Linked DNA regions of Notamacropus eugenii. The protein of the gene in region 1 purifies or fractionates together with the protein of each later gene. This does not show direct contact. Links are inferred from orthologs where the notes say so. Each region holds a gene or a part of one and is shown in the gene's direction. Other genes may lie near its edges.

Evidence for each region. The genes of interacting proteins can lie anywhere in the genome.
Region 2: the proteins of ANKRD17 (region 1) and HOXB6 purify together in Homo sapiens (co-immunoprecipitation; 3 studies listed by BioGRID and IntAct, with this or other methods). This does not show direct contact. The link is inferred for Notamacropus eugenii from reciprocal best matches to the Homo sapiens genes ANKRD17 and HOXB6.

Annotation. Positions count from the first base shown.
Region 1 is NC_092878.1:153,499,888-153,506,902, forward strand, and holds the start of ANKRD17 (ankyrin repeat domain-containing protein 17), read left to right. Parts: upstream 1-4,000; 5' UTR 4,001-4,459; coding exon 4,460-4,837; intron 4,838-7,015.
Region 2 is NC_092873.1:352,427,160-352,434,506, forward strand, and holds HOXB6 (homeobox protein Hox-B6), read left to right. Parts: upstream 1-4,334; coding exon 4,335-4,746; intron 4,747-5,903; coding exon 5,904-6,163; 3' UTR 6,164-6,886; downstream 6,887-7,347. UniProt on the Homo sapiens protein: Sequence-specific transcription factor which is part of a developmental regulatory system that provides cells with specific positional identities on the anterior-posterior axis.

The DNA of each region.
Region 1 (7,015 bases):
TGTTCTCCTGGTTCTGCTCTCTTAAGTGCATCAGTTTATAAAAGTCTTCTCATTTTTCTGGAATTGTACCCTTCATAATTTCATACAGCACAATAGTATGCCATTTCATTCATATATAAACACTTATTTAGCCTTTTCCAACTGATGGGCATTCCCTTCGTTTCCTCTTCTTTGCCAGAACAAAAAGAGCCAATACACTTTTGGGACATGTGGGACTTTTTGCTTTTTCTTTGTCTTTTTAGGCCTATTGGTATCTCTGGGTCAAGCGGCACATGGAATTTAGTAACTTTGGGAACATAGATCCAAATTGTTTTCTAGAATGACTGGACCAGTTACCTGCTCTAGCAAAAGTACATCAGCGTACTTGTTTCTCATATAGCTCTTCCAACAACTGTTATTTTTTTCCTTTTTGTCAACTTTGCAATATGGTGGTTGCCTTAGTTTACATTTAGTTATTAGTGATTTGGAGCATTTTTTCATATGACTATTTTGATTTCTTCATCTGAAAATTGAGACCTCTGTCAGAGAACCTTGTAGTATTTTTACCCCTCCTATTCCCTAATTTTTCCTCCCTTTGCTTTCTACCACCTCTTTATCACAGGTACTTCCCCTTACTTTCTTTTTAAATCCCCCTTCAAGATTCTTGATTCAAGTTGTTTTATTTATAACTAATCCCTCCCCAAAGCTCCTCCTCCTCCTCCCTTTGTTCTCTTTTGTTTTGCATTTGTTCCCATTTCCCTAATTAGTTGAATATATCTCCATCCTAAATTCTTTTGTGTTCCCTCTTTCTTTGGCCAGTTCAGGTAAAAGTGAGAATGAAGTGATAACCACTTTTCTAAAGCCTTCCTCATTTGTATAGACTTCTACTTGGATGTGATTTAAGAGGTAAGTTCCCTTTCCTCTCCAATCTCCCCTAGTGCATCTCCCCCTCCCCACTCTTTTTCTTTACTAAGGTCGTTAAAACACGACAACACCATTCCCAGGCTGCCTTATTTGATTCCCTCCATGACCCTTGGTGCCATTTGGATGCTGAAGGGACACGTGTATTATTTCTCCCTTTCCATTATAAAGCATGTTTCCCCGTTTAATCCCTTATTGTTACTGCTGACTCATGTTTGCCTTCTTACTGTTTCTTTCTGGCTGCTTGTATTCTCTTTTCTTTGCCCTGGAAGATCTGAATTTTGGCTATGGAATTATTGAAGGTTTGCACTTTGGGGCTTCTTTTAGAAGTTTGACTAGTATATACTTTCTATTATTGCTTTTTTCTCTGGTGCTAATAAATTTGGGCAGTTTTCTTTCATGATTTCTTGAAATGATATCTCAATTGTTTTTAAATTTATTTTTAGTTTTCAACATTCACTTCCATAAGCTTGAGTTTTAAATTTTCTCCCCTCCCTTCATGTCCTTCCCTTCCACAAGATGGCGTGCAATCTGATATAGGCTCTCCATCAACATCCATATTAAAACTATTTTTACATTAGGCAAGTTGTAAAGAAGAATTAGAACCAATGAAACACCAAAAAAAGAGCAAATAGTATGTTTCAATCTGCATTCAGACTCCAGAGTACGTTCTCTGCACTTGGATAGCATTTTCCATCAAGTCTTTTGGAGTTGTCTTAGATCCTTTCATTGCAAAGAACAGCCAGATTCATGAGTTAGTCATTGAACAACGTGGCTGTTACTGTGTACAGTGTTCTCCTGGTTCTGCTCACTTCACTCAGCATCAGTTCATGCGTCAGCCAATCAAAATGGCTTCTCCTAACTACTTCGTTAGCAGACTAAAACCAGTTTTAAAATATATGTACACTGTCTCAAGTCTCTTCAAGTTACTTTCAATATGTCAGGCTCCTCATTTACCTCTTCCCCATAGAGAGTATTGTCAGAGGAGCTCTGTACATGCCTACCCACCATTTCTCTTCTGTTTGCGAAGAGGAGTTTCATTACCATTGGCTGAGAGAGGGGGTTGAAGAGAACTGTCGTTCTCCCTGCAGGAGAGAGGCTTACTAAGAGCCATCCCCTTCTGGCTCTCAGGTTTGGTTTTGGTTTTTTCACTCTCTGCCTAATTATGCTTCCTATTCCAAAAGCACATTTGCCCTGCTGCCTTTTACTCTTCCCTTGTTTTGTGAGACAGTTAGGTGGTACAGGGTGAAAGAGTGCTGGATTTGGAGAAAGGGAGACTTGAAATCAAATCCTGCCTCAGACACTTACTAGTTGTATGACTGTGGAAATTATTTAACCTCTGTCAGTCTCAGTTTCCTTATTAGTAAAAGTAGAATAATAAAGGCACCAGACTCAGGGCTTGGTGGGGATCAAATGATAACATGTTCAGAGATTTGCAACCTTTAAAATGCTATATAAATCCTAACTGTTAGCAACAAAACAGTTCATGTTAGTATGCTTTAAACTGGTGAAAGAATTCTGTGTAAAACATTGTGGTAGGCCCAGCAGGGGATCATAGCTGGAAAGGAAGTCTGGGGTGATCGAGTCAAACTTCTTTCACAAATAGTTTATATATACTGTCTCATCTTCCATTAACTTTTGGCTGAAAGCAGCAAAACCATCAAATAGTTTTATCTTCTTTTACGGAGTTTTGCAAAAATGACTGAGGAAGATAAATTCGATTTCCTTAAGCAAGCTTGGAAATAAAAAACATCTCAAGGTGGAGAAACCAGAATCCGGACTACATGGTGTAAAGCACTGGCTTTGAGTTCTGATCCTGGCTCTGCTCCTACTCCCTTTGTGCTCTTGGGCTGGGGGTGATGTCTATGAACCCTTTACAATGACTAATTGTTGAGAAATCCTATCAGAATCACAGAAAGGTAGTAGAATCATCGATTCACAGCTGGAAGATCATCTACTTCAACCTTCTCCTTTGAAAGATGATGAAACTAAGGCCCAAGGGAGGTTAAATCACTTGACCAAGGTCAAAAGGTTGTGTAGGAGACGGATTTGAAATCCTGTCCTGGGACTCCAGAGGCAAAACCATTTAGTCCAGCTTCTTGATTTTGCAGGTGTATCCCAGAGCGGTTGGGTGGGTGACCTTTGGGAAGTCACAGGGCAAACAAAGTGCCCAAGCCCCATGCGAACCTTTTTGTGATTCCAAGTTGCTCTTACAGACCAAATTAAAAAAAAAAAAATCCCATTTCTTTAGAATTGCACATGTCTTTTTCCTTTGGGAGGAAAACAAACCTAGATAAAAGATGCCAGTTTTAAGCTGCTGCCAATCCAGCTTCCTGCCGCCGTCACCTCTTTGCTGCTTTATGTGCAAAGCACACTTCGTTAAAGCCATCAACACCAAAAATTGTTTCAGACTTTTGGGAGATCCCAGGCTACGGCTAGCAGTCTGCAAGAGCGATCTAAGCGTCCCGTCTCGGGCGGGAGGCCACGGGTGCGGAGCGCGGCAGGCCTGGACTTGGCTGGCATGGTCTGCTTGTAAAGGGCGCCTGGCGATGCAGGAGCGGGGAGGGAAGGGGAGAGCCACCGCTGCTCAAAGCAGAGCAGCTGCTCCGTCAGGGTGGGCGCGGTCCACACCCCCCACTGTGCAGAGGGGGAAACTGAGGCATCAGGCCGGCTTGCCCTCCGCTCTGCGTGCCTAGGCCGCGCCTGCGTCTGGGGCACCCCGCCGGGCACCGAGGGTCCCTGGGAGACAAGGGGGGTGGCCCTCGGAACGAACTTTGCCCCCCGTTCTCCTTCCCCTCCCCCCGGCGGCCCCTCTGCCCTCTCGGGCAGCCAGTCTCGCGCAGAGCCTGCTCAGACCCGAAGAGCCGTTTCTACAGCGGCTCCGGATGCGGCTAGAGCTCGCCGTCGGCTCCTTGGAAGTGGGGGTAGGATTCCCCCCACCCCCACTGCACTGCGCTCCCCAAAGGGCCCGCTTCCGCGAGAGGTAGCTGCTCGGCAGGCGCGCGCGGCGTGCGGCGAGGCCTGATGACGTCAGCGGCCCTTCCGGCCGCGCCTGCGCAGTACACACTCCTCAGTGGTAAGGGAGGGAGCCGGAGAGGGAGGTGAGGGGACAGTAGCAGGGAGGGAAGGTAGGTGTGTGGGGGTGTACTGGAGGGGGAACGAAGAGGAAAGGCACCCGAGGCAGCCTGGCCAGCGGCGCGCGGCGGCGGCGGCCCTCTCCCGCAGCGCCGAGGAACGGAAGCCCTGGAGAAGCCCTCCCCTCCCTGCTCGCCTCTGTCCTTCCGTCTCCCTGTTCGGCCCCCTCCCCCCGGGCCTCCCTCTTCTCCGCAGCCCCCCCTCTCCGGCCCTCCCCGCCCCGCGGAGGGCGCTACGGCTCCCCGCCCTCAGTATCGCGAGAGGTGGTGAGAGCTGGCGGAGCCGCGGCGGCGGCGGCGGCGGCAGCAGTAGAGGTGACCGAGGCGGTGGCGGCGGCGGCGGCAGCGGTGGCCCCGGCCCCGACCGCCCAGTGGTCCCGTCGCGGTTGAGCGGAGCCCCCGCGCCCCCCGGCCTGGTCCCGGGGATGGAGAAGGCGACGGCCCCGGCGGAGGCGGAGGGAGACGGGAGCCCCCCGGCGGCGGCGGCGGCGGCCCCCCCTCCCGGGGAGCTCGGTGGCCCCGGCGGCGGCGGCTCGTCCCCGGCCCCCCGCGGGCTGGTGCGGGTGTGCGACCTGCTGCTCAAGAAGAAGCCGCCGCCGCAGAACCCCAAGGCCAAGCGCAGCCGGACCTGCCGCCCCCCCAGCAGCAGCGACAGCAGCAGCGACAGCGACCACGGCCCCGCCGGCCCGGGCCCCGGCCCCGGCGCCCCCAGCAGCAACAACAGCGAGGAGGACGAGGACGACGACGACGACGACGACGACGAGGACGACGACGAGGAGGAGGAGGAGGAGGAGGTGTCTGAGGCAAGGGCCTGCGGGCGGCGGGGGGCGGCTCATGGGGGGAGGGGGGATCCCCGGCACGTGGGGGCGCGGGCCGGCCTGCCCGGGGCCGGGGAGCCGGGGCGGGGCCTGGGCCGGGCCGCCTGTCACGGCGCCTCCGAGGCCGTACTTTTCCATCCCGGCTCCGCTGCGGGATTTGCCCCCGCGGGCCCGAGGGCCTCCCGACGCTCGGCACCCACCCCCACCCGCACCGCCATCTCCCACGGAAGGCTTCGGAGCAACTTGGCCTGACAGCGTGCGTGCATTATGCAACACCGCGGAGAGATGGGGTGCCGGGGTGCGCGTGCGGGGCGGCGGGGGCCTCGGGGTCCGGCCGTGCTGCCGAGCGGGGGGCTCCCCGGCTCCTGGCGTGCCCCACTGATCTGATTTCATAATAGCGAGCCGTGGATTTTCACGGGTCCGCGGGCAGGGGGCGATACCGGACCTTCGCTCGAGGCCGGGCCAGCCCTTCCTGGGCCGGGAGCCTCCAGGTGGCTGCTCCGGCCGGGGCCGAGAACCGCTGGCCAGCGGCCCTGTCATTTATTACCACTCTCCCCTACATCTCATTTAATTCGGAAGGTACCGATTGAAGATCCTTTTGGGCCGTGGGCATGTTTTGTCAATGCCAGTTTCTCATAAGTAGCTGATCCCTGGTTTTTGTCCTCAATCTAGTAAAATAATAAAACAGAAAAACAAAAGGTAGTAGTAGACTAGGCTGGTCCTGTAAGTTAGTACTACTGTATATTTTATCTGATTCTGAAGGAATTTTGCTAGGCCAGAGAGAACTCATTTTCAGAACCCAAAAAAACCCTCGGCCTTGAAAATAAGGGCAGTGGAATAATAATTTTCTAGGAAGTATATCAATCTAATCAGCAGACAATTTACTCAGCCCTCTCCGTGTGCTAGACCTCTGCTATACAAAACCCAAAATGATGCAGTCCTTTCAAACAGCTTACAGGTTATTGGGCTTATAAGCCCAGTGTACCCATATAAATATATATGGAATAAATCTGAAATAAATACAAGCTAGGTTGGAGATGGAGGGAAAAGCATGGATAATAAGATGCTTGTTGACTTTTGAAGGAAACGGGCTTTTTGAGGAGGAGATGATGAAAGAAAGCATTTTAGGCTTGAGAGACAGCCAGTGCATTGGACAGCAGAGAAAGGAGGCCATCTCTAAAGGAAACCAAGAAAAACTTGATGGCTGAATCAAGGAGTGCAGGAAGGGGAGTAATATATGAGAAGGCTGTACAGGTAGATTGGGGCTGTGTTTTCCAGGGATTTTAAACGCCGAGCAGACTACTTTATGTTTGATTCTTGGAGCAAAAGGGAACCACTGAAGTTTATTGGGTAGGGAAATGACATCATTCTCTCAAGGAAGTCACTCACAGTTTTGTGGAAGATATGAGAGTGGGGAGAGAACAGTTGGGGGCTGTTGCAACCGTACAGATAGGAGATTGAGCTAAGGCAGGGCTCAGAACACGAAGATTGAGCACCTGACTGAGTCTGTCAAGAGAGGGAGAGTGAGGAGTGGAGGACAGGGCTGAGGTTAAGAACTTGAAATACTGGAAGAATAGGCTTACTGTCAGCAGAAGTAAAGAAGTTTGTTCTAGAGGAGTGAGTTTGTGGGGGGGAAATAAGGGATTCTGTTTTGGACACTGATCAGTCAAGAAACATTTAATAAGCACCTCCCAAAGTGCCAGACCCTATGCCAGGCCCCGACAATACAGATAGACAAGAATAGAAAGATCCCTATTTGAAAGAAACTTCCATGGCCGTAGTCATGTCCATTTTGAGATGTGTCTGGGATAGCCATTCCAGTGTACAATGGGTAGGTAATTTGTGGGGGACTAGATTCTGGTGAGAGATTAGGCTAGATACATAAAGCTTTGGGAGTCATAGGCATAGGGATTGTCATTGAACCCAGGAGAGCTGAATATAAGATCATTGAGTGAGAAGATGGAGAGCTGGAAAGGGGCCTTTGAAATGTTTTTTGTTTGTTTGATTTTGGGGGTTTTTTGTGAGGCAGTTGGGGTTAAGTGACATGCTGAGGGCCACACAAGCTAGTGTCAAGTGTCTGAGGCTGAATTTGAACTCAGGTCCTCCTGACTCCAGGGCAGGTGCTCTATTTACTACACATTCCCTTATGAATGGTTTTGCCCA
Region 2 (7,347 bases), on another chromosome or scaffold:
CAGGGAGAAATTGTAGTGATTTTCCCTGTAGAGGACTGTTGGAAGGGGCACCCCTGTGGTTCCTGGGCTGTCCAGCGTTCTCTAACCAGAGCCTCTGTCCTTTCAAGAGCCTTGTTCATGTGAGTAGACTTTATGGCCTCAATAAGTCCCCTGATTTAAGGCCACCGCTGTGTTGTCACTTGAGGGGGCTGAGGAGTAAAGGAGACTTAAAAGGCTCTATTCCTTTTTGACTTGAAGGGAAAACTCAACTTCTACTTTCAGGATTAGCCTGGGATGAAGGTGAGGGTGAGGGTGAGAGTGAGGAAAAGGATGGGGGGGGGGGGCAGGAAGTGAAGAAGGTCTCATAACTGTGACTCTGGTGTTTGGAGCAATCTGGAAAAGGAGAAGAGAAAGAGAGAAAGTGGTGAGCTTCATGTAAGCACCTCCAAGGAAAATAAGAGATGCCTAGTACCAATTTCCATAATGCAAATTAGGTCTTTGTCCAGCATTTAGGATTTAGGGCAATCTTATGGAAAACTCATTTCCAGGGCTATTCTGCCTTTGCTTTGAGTAAGTTCACAGCTTCTGCTGTAATGCAGTGACCCCTAAGTTTAAGAATAGTTTGAGGGGGGAGCAGAATTCCTGGGTGGAATTGAGTGACTAGTAGCCTAACCAAAGTTCCTCAACTCAAGGAAGGTTGAGCACCCTGGAGATCTAGTGACTCAAGGCAAGGTGACTCCAATTCCTATATACTCCCATTTTCCTCCCTTTCTAAACCAGATATAGGTAGGAGATTTATACCAGCCAAGGAAGCACAATTTAACCAAAACTAACAGGAGAAACAAATGCTTGCATGTACACATGACCGTAATATACCATATTCAAAATTAAACCTACACTTTCCCAGATAGCTAACCTAGATAGATGGTAGTATTATAAGATTAAGATATACTAGATTAGAGGTTTTTAATCTTTTTCTGTGGACCCCTTTGACAGCCTGGGAAAGCCTATGGACCTCTTCTCATAATAATGGTTTTAAATAATCGTAGGAAATGCGGAATTTCAGTTACAGATTAAATAAAGATGTAATTTTTCCCCCATCAAAGTTCACAGACTCCCTGAAATCTACACGGTCCCTTAAAAAGTCACTGGTTCCCAGGTTGAGAATTATACATACACACACACACAAACACAGGCACCCCTAGGTGCATGTATGCAGATCTAGGTGTGTGTATACTTCAGACTTACACTCAACTGTTTGACACATACACATTTGTAGACTGAGCTACAGATCCACAGAGATACTTCCAACAGACACAAATGTATGTACATGTCTATTTATTTATGCACCCGCATCTACAGACAGATCGACACAGCTACAAACAGATCCACCACGATTTGGCTCCAGAGCCTATTGCGTCTCAGACCAAGTACTCCCGGCCTGGTCTTTATCCCAAACAAACGGATCAGACGAATAAACGCCCATAAATACCTCTCGGCTTAGATAAGAGCAATGAGCCGCAATTTTCTTTCATGGCCGGCTCCAGGCGCCCCTGGACCCCGGCAGTTGCGGCTGACAGCCCGACAGGCAACTGTCGAGAGTCGTGGGGAACTTAGAGATTATTGCTGTTGATGATGTTAGAATTTTCCCAGCTCTTCCTCCCCTCTCCCTGCAGTCCTTACAGCTCCCAGAAAACAAGCCACTACCATCCCCAAGCTACGAAGTCCAAATCTCAATGCCTTCGAATGAAAATAAATTAAGAGAGAAAGGGGTGAGGGCTAGAGGGCTGCTGTCGGTGGAACTGTCCTCAATCCCAGGTGGTCGTTGCAGGGGGAGGGGGGAGAGCAACACAAAGCTCTTTCTCTGACTCTCCAGAAACTCAAATAGTTCTCATCTCCACCAAATAGACAAAATCAGTTTGGGTTAGCTACATCGGGAATTCAACTTTCCAATAGCGACGGAGAGATGTCAGATCGATAACTGTCTTTGGGGCTTTCCCCCCAGCTCCACCTTTCGCCAGGTCTTTTTTGTTTTGTTTTGTTTTTCCTTACATCTTCTAGGTCTTATAAAAATGACAAACTGAAGCTGGGAACCAGAGACCTAGAGACCTTGGGGGGCAAGTCGGGTCTAGAAGTCTGCCAGTTCCCTGTGTCCTTTTGATATCTCCGCCGCCGCTTTTCTTCCGACCAACTTTTTCACCTACTCCACACCTTCCCCCCATCCCTCACACACTAAGTCAGCCCTGTGGCCCATGGTTTTCTCTTGCCTCCCCTGCCACCTCCATTCCTTGGCTAAAGGGTTGCTTTTACTTGGACGAGGGTCCGGTTCCCACACAAAGCGAGACCGTGACGTGAGGCGAGCTAGAGGTTAGGCAGTTAAGCAAAGACAAGCTGAATTCCCCCTCTGCTGTCTAGGCTGCTTTTCCCCGGTTGTCTAGGGGTGGCCCGTACTCCTGAAAAGCTGTTGTCTGTGAAAAGAGTGACTCCTCTTGTGTAAACAGAATGTTTTAAAATTTATTAACATTGCAATGAGTCCAGATTTACAAATACTCAGCTTCTCTGGAGAGGAATAGGGGAGGAGGTAGGGATGTGAGCAAGTCACAGAGTCCAATGCCTGGGCAGCAAGCTTTTGGGGTTGCATACCTTAAAGGGTATGGGATAGAGGAGAATTTGAGAGAGAAGCAGATAGAGACTCAGAAGGGATTTGAAATTGCTGCGGATGGATAATTGGGGGTGGATGGGGAGGGGATATCCCAATGTATTTTCTCGCTCATTCCACGTTCAAATTACAGCCCCTACTTCCTCCTTTACCGAACAATCAAAACGCCAGAGGATAGATTCTCTAAAATCTATAGCAGCTCCTCCGAGAAAATTGGAGGAGGAGGAGATTTGGTTGGGGCAATTCCCTATCCCCTAGGAGCACGGAAGAATTTGAAGAGAAAAGATCAAGTGGCGGGAAATTGTCAGCACTTTATTGACATTTTTAAAAAATCCTAATGCCCTGAGCTTGCTCAAAGCATTTTGTTGTTGTTGTTGTTGTTGTTGGTAAGAGATCATTTAACTTTCTTGGGAAGTGGAAAGGAACGACGAAGCACAGAATCTGTAATAGAGAGATAAAATCCAAGCAAAGGTCCCCTTTTTGCCTTCTCATTTCCGTCTACGGAAAGGGGAAAAGTGAACGTCCCGACTTCTAGTGCCCTTACCTTTGCTAAGATCTGCTAAGAAGGACAGTGAGAGACACTTATCTGTGCGACTGCAACCTTCCTCTAGGGAGGAGGGCGATTGTGGCCCAGAGGGCATAGTGAAAACTCGAAACGGTAAGGTCCAGGATGGGGTACCCTTTGATATTGTCCATTTCCCACCACCACCACTCGCACCTTCTTCATCGTTTCGTTCTCCCCCCACCCCCCTACAGCTGGGCTCCAACTGGCTATCTCCACTCCCCCTACCCCCCAACGCACAAAGAGTTGGGGAGAGGCAGGAATTCGAGACCGGGGCTGGGCTTAGAGCTGGCGATCAGATAAACAGGAAAGACGATTTTTGAAACCAGTGCCGCGGTTTCCACACACACCCCCCCCCCCCTTCCTGAGAGCGAAGCTAATTAGACAGCTGAGAACTCCGCTCCCCTCCTACCTCCTTTAAAAACAAGAAGAAAGAAAAAGAATTAAACCTTTTCTCTTCAGTCCATCTCAACGGGGTACTCGAATCTTCCCTCCCCACATATTCCCCTTGGGGGAAGGGGGTCATAAGGACTGTAGGGATTAACTTTTCTTAGAACAATTAACTTTTCTCCATCTCTTATAGTGGAGAGGAAAGGGAGGAACAGGAGCATATTTATTTCATCATTCTGGGATCGGGGAGGGGTAGTCTCTTTTCCAAGTCCTCCCCCACCCCTCCCCCCACCTCTTAGCGGTAACAGAAGCCTCTTTCGCAGCTCCTACGTAGGTGGGGAAGGGTGCGTTCTGTTTCTGTTGTTGAGTGAGAGCAAGAGAGAGAAGGAGAGAGAGAGAGAGAGAGAGAGAGAGAGAGAGAGAGAGAGAGAGAGAGAGAGAGAGAAGAAAAAGGAGAAGGAGGAGGAAGAAGAAGAAGAAAAAAGAGGTTGATAGGTTTGTGCGCCGGGGTCCCTCGTGCGAGCCCTGCTCCTCATGGGTGCTATTTGGCAATTCCTGCTTCTGCTATTGGTCAGTGTTTGATCATATGGTTGTATTTCCTTCTGTCCCTCACTGGCACCTCGCCATCCCCCTTCAGCTAAAACCCAATCTCGGATATACTACTAATAGCTAAGGCGCTCGGACTATAAAACACAACAAATCATAAAAGCCCGCTCAGCAGAACCGACCGCGCCTCCCCTCCCAATGAGTTCCTATTTTGTGAACTCCACCTTCCCAGTTACTCTGTCCAACGGACAGGAGTCGTTCCTGGGTCAGCTCCCGCTGTACTCCTCGGGCTATGCGGATCCTTTAAGACACTATCCCGCGGCGTATGGGACCGGGGCGGTCCAGGACAAGGGTTTTGCCTCTTCTTCCTACTACCCACCGGCGAGCGGGGGCTACAACCGGGCTGCGGCTTGTGACTATGGGCCAGCCGGCTTCTATAGGGAGAAGGAGTCTGCCTGCGCCCTCTCCAGCGGCGAAGAGCCTGCCCCCTTCCACCCCGAGCCGAGGAAGTCCGACTGCGCCCAAGACAAAAATGTTTTCGGAGAGAGTGAGGAGCAGAAGTGTTCCACTCCTGTCTATCCCTGGATGCAGCGGATGAATTCATGCAACAGTGAGTGAGGCTTTTCAATACTTTTCTCCCTCCCCCTGACCCTTTAGCCTGTCTGGGCCTGTCGGGTCCTGTCCCTCCCCACAGGAACAGGAAATAACCCGGGGCTCTCATCAAGCATTCACCATCCCCTCCCTCATAGGCCTGGAGACTCCCTCCCCCCCCCCCCGAAAGGTGTGTTTTGAGGGGGGAGGGGTTCCAGGTAAGTAGAAAGTGAAGATGAGTCTCTCTTCTCACAGTTGGAGTTCTAAACTTTGTAGTCCCTCCCTTTCTAGACAGCTAAAAAGAGGCACTGCGGTGGGGGTAGGGGAGTCCGAGAGAAGGGAAGATTACCACTGAGGAGGAAAGGGGAAAGGGTCCCTACTACCTTCCTTCCTCATTTTTCGCCTTTTCACGACTCCCTTCTCTTACTCCCAAGTAGCCGGCCCCATTAGAAATGGAATGAGTCATGTCTTGGTTGGTTGGGAGCGGGCGGGTGGCAGGCAGTAAATACTGAGAAAGGGAAGGTTGAGGCTAGGGGTCTGTGCTCCATGGAGTACAGAGGTAATCCTAGAGAGGAAAGGTAGAGAAGGTGTATCATAGAGAGCCTGTCTCCTCATCATCAAGGGGATAAGGAGAGACAGAGATGGGTGTCTGTATCAGATCAGATTATTTGTTGTCTTTAAGGTCTCAAATTGACGTCCATTAGCAGGACACGAAAGTGTTGGACCGTTAATGCAGAGTATCACGGATCGATTCACGTCATTGTGGATTAAATGGTCAAATCTATCACCAGTTGGGAGGGAGAGAGGCTAGCCATCTGGAAGTGAAGTGGAAGGGGGGGGGCAGAAGAGGTACAAACACCTGGCTACCGCCTATCTAATTCTCCCCACTCCTTCCCAGCAGTCTTGTAGCCTCAGGTAGGATCTCTCCCACAGCCACAAAAGCAACAAACTCCTGAAAGCGAGATGAGGAAGAAGGAAAAGAGAGCAAACCAATGAGGCCAGGAGATTAGAGGGTAGGTGGAGAGGGAGATGACCTGAGAAGGAAGGGGAAAACTGTGTCAGGGCCACAGGAGAAGGCATCTTTACTCTTCTGAAGCCAGGGTCCCCAGACAGGAGTGGGAGGGAGAGGACGGAGAGAGGGTGACCGTGTCATAATGTCTTCTTTCCACTTAACAGGTTCTTCTTTTGGGCCCAGCGGGCGGCGAGGCCGTCAGACATACACGCGCTACCAGACTTTGGAGCTGGAGAAGGAGTTCCATTACAATCGCTACCTGACTCGAAGAAGACGCATCGAGATCGCCCACGCCCTTTGCTTGACCGAGAGACAGATCAAAATCTGGTTCCAGAACCGACGAATGAAGTGGAAAAAGGAAAACAAGATGCTCAACTCTTCCCAGCTCAGCCCGGAGGCAGAGGAAGAAAAGCCCACAGAGTGATCTCCAGGAAGGACCGGGACAGAGGGAGGGAGGGAGGGAAGGAAAGTGAAGAGGAATGTCTGGGAAGGTGGCTGAGGTGGGGGAAACGAAAATAAGCATATTATCAGATGCCCTCGTGGGAGGGAACAGGAAGAGGGTGGATGAGAGATTCTTAATCACCTCAGAGAGAGGCCGGACTAATTCCATTCCCTGTGGAGCTCCCACCCTGCAGATTTCTCCCGTCAGCTGCTAGCCACTAGAGCCCCAGATAGGCCCCTACTCCACGGTTTCCTCTCTGTCTCTTACATCTCTAACCCTCCCACAAAAGCTACCTGGGGTTCCTAGTTTGTGTACTCTAACTGAGGACCGAAAGGAACTCGCTCATATTGTGTTTCCCGGAAGCAAAGCAAATTGCTGTTTTCCGTGTCTTGTCTTCATTTTGTACAGTGTCCCATGCACGGTTGAATTAGAAATTTGGTTTCCCTTTTGAGAGGGGAGGTCTCTGGGGGGGGCCTCCCCCTGTCCCCCAGACCTGTCGCCTCTTCCCCTCCCCCCTTAATTCACTGGAAGGAGCACAGACTACCTAAAAGGAAGAAGAGGAGCAGCCGCAGAAGAAAAACAAAGTTCTATTTTATTAATTTTTCTATGTGTTGTGTTTGTAGTTTTGTCTTAGCTCTCCGGCGTGAAATACTGCGGTAATAATATTATTATTAATATTAATGATAATAAAAATGTGAAAACTCGGCCCGTCGTTGACCCGCCCTCCCCTCCCTTCCAACTTCTTTCTTTCCGGGGAAAGATAGCCCCCAAACAGTCTGAAGACAGTCCCAGTGGGCCGCCGCTTGGTTGCAAGTAAACCCCGATGTAACGCCCAGATTCTCCGGCGGGGTCACTCGCTTGGCTCGGATCAGGAGATATGCTGGGCAAGACAGAATTCGGAAATTACAATTAAGACAGATATATTCAGTCACAACCCCTGGGCCTCCCTTCCCAATTCGCTTCTCTTGGTCACATTTCACATTAGCTCCAAGATCGCCGCCGACTCTGGGATGGCATTCACAGCCTGCATTCCGGCTTTCTCTTTTCTTTTCTGCTCCCCTATTTGGTCTCCACCCCGACAATTGTGTTAAGGAATCTCACCCCCACCCCCATATACATTATAAATCCGAAGAGCAAAGGGGAGTGATTCCCCCAAGGCTTCGTGG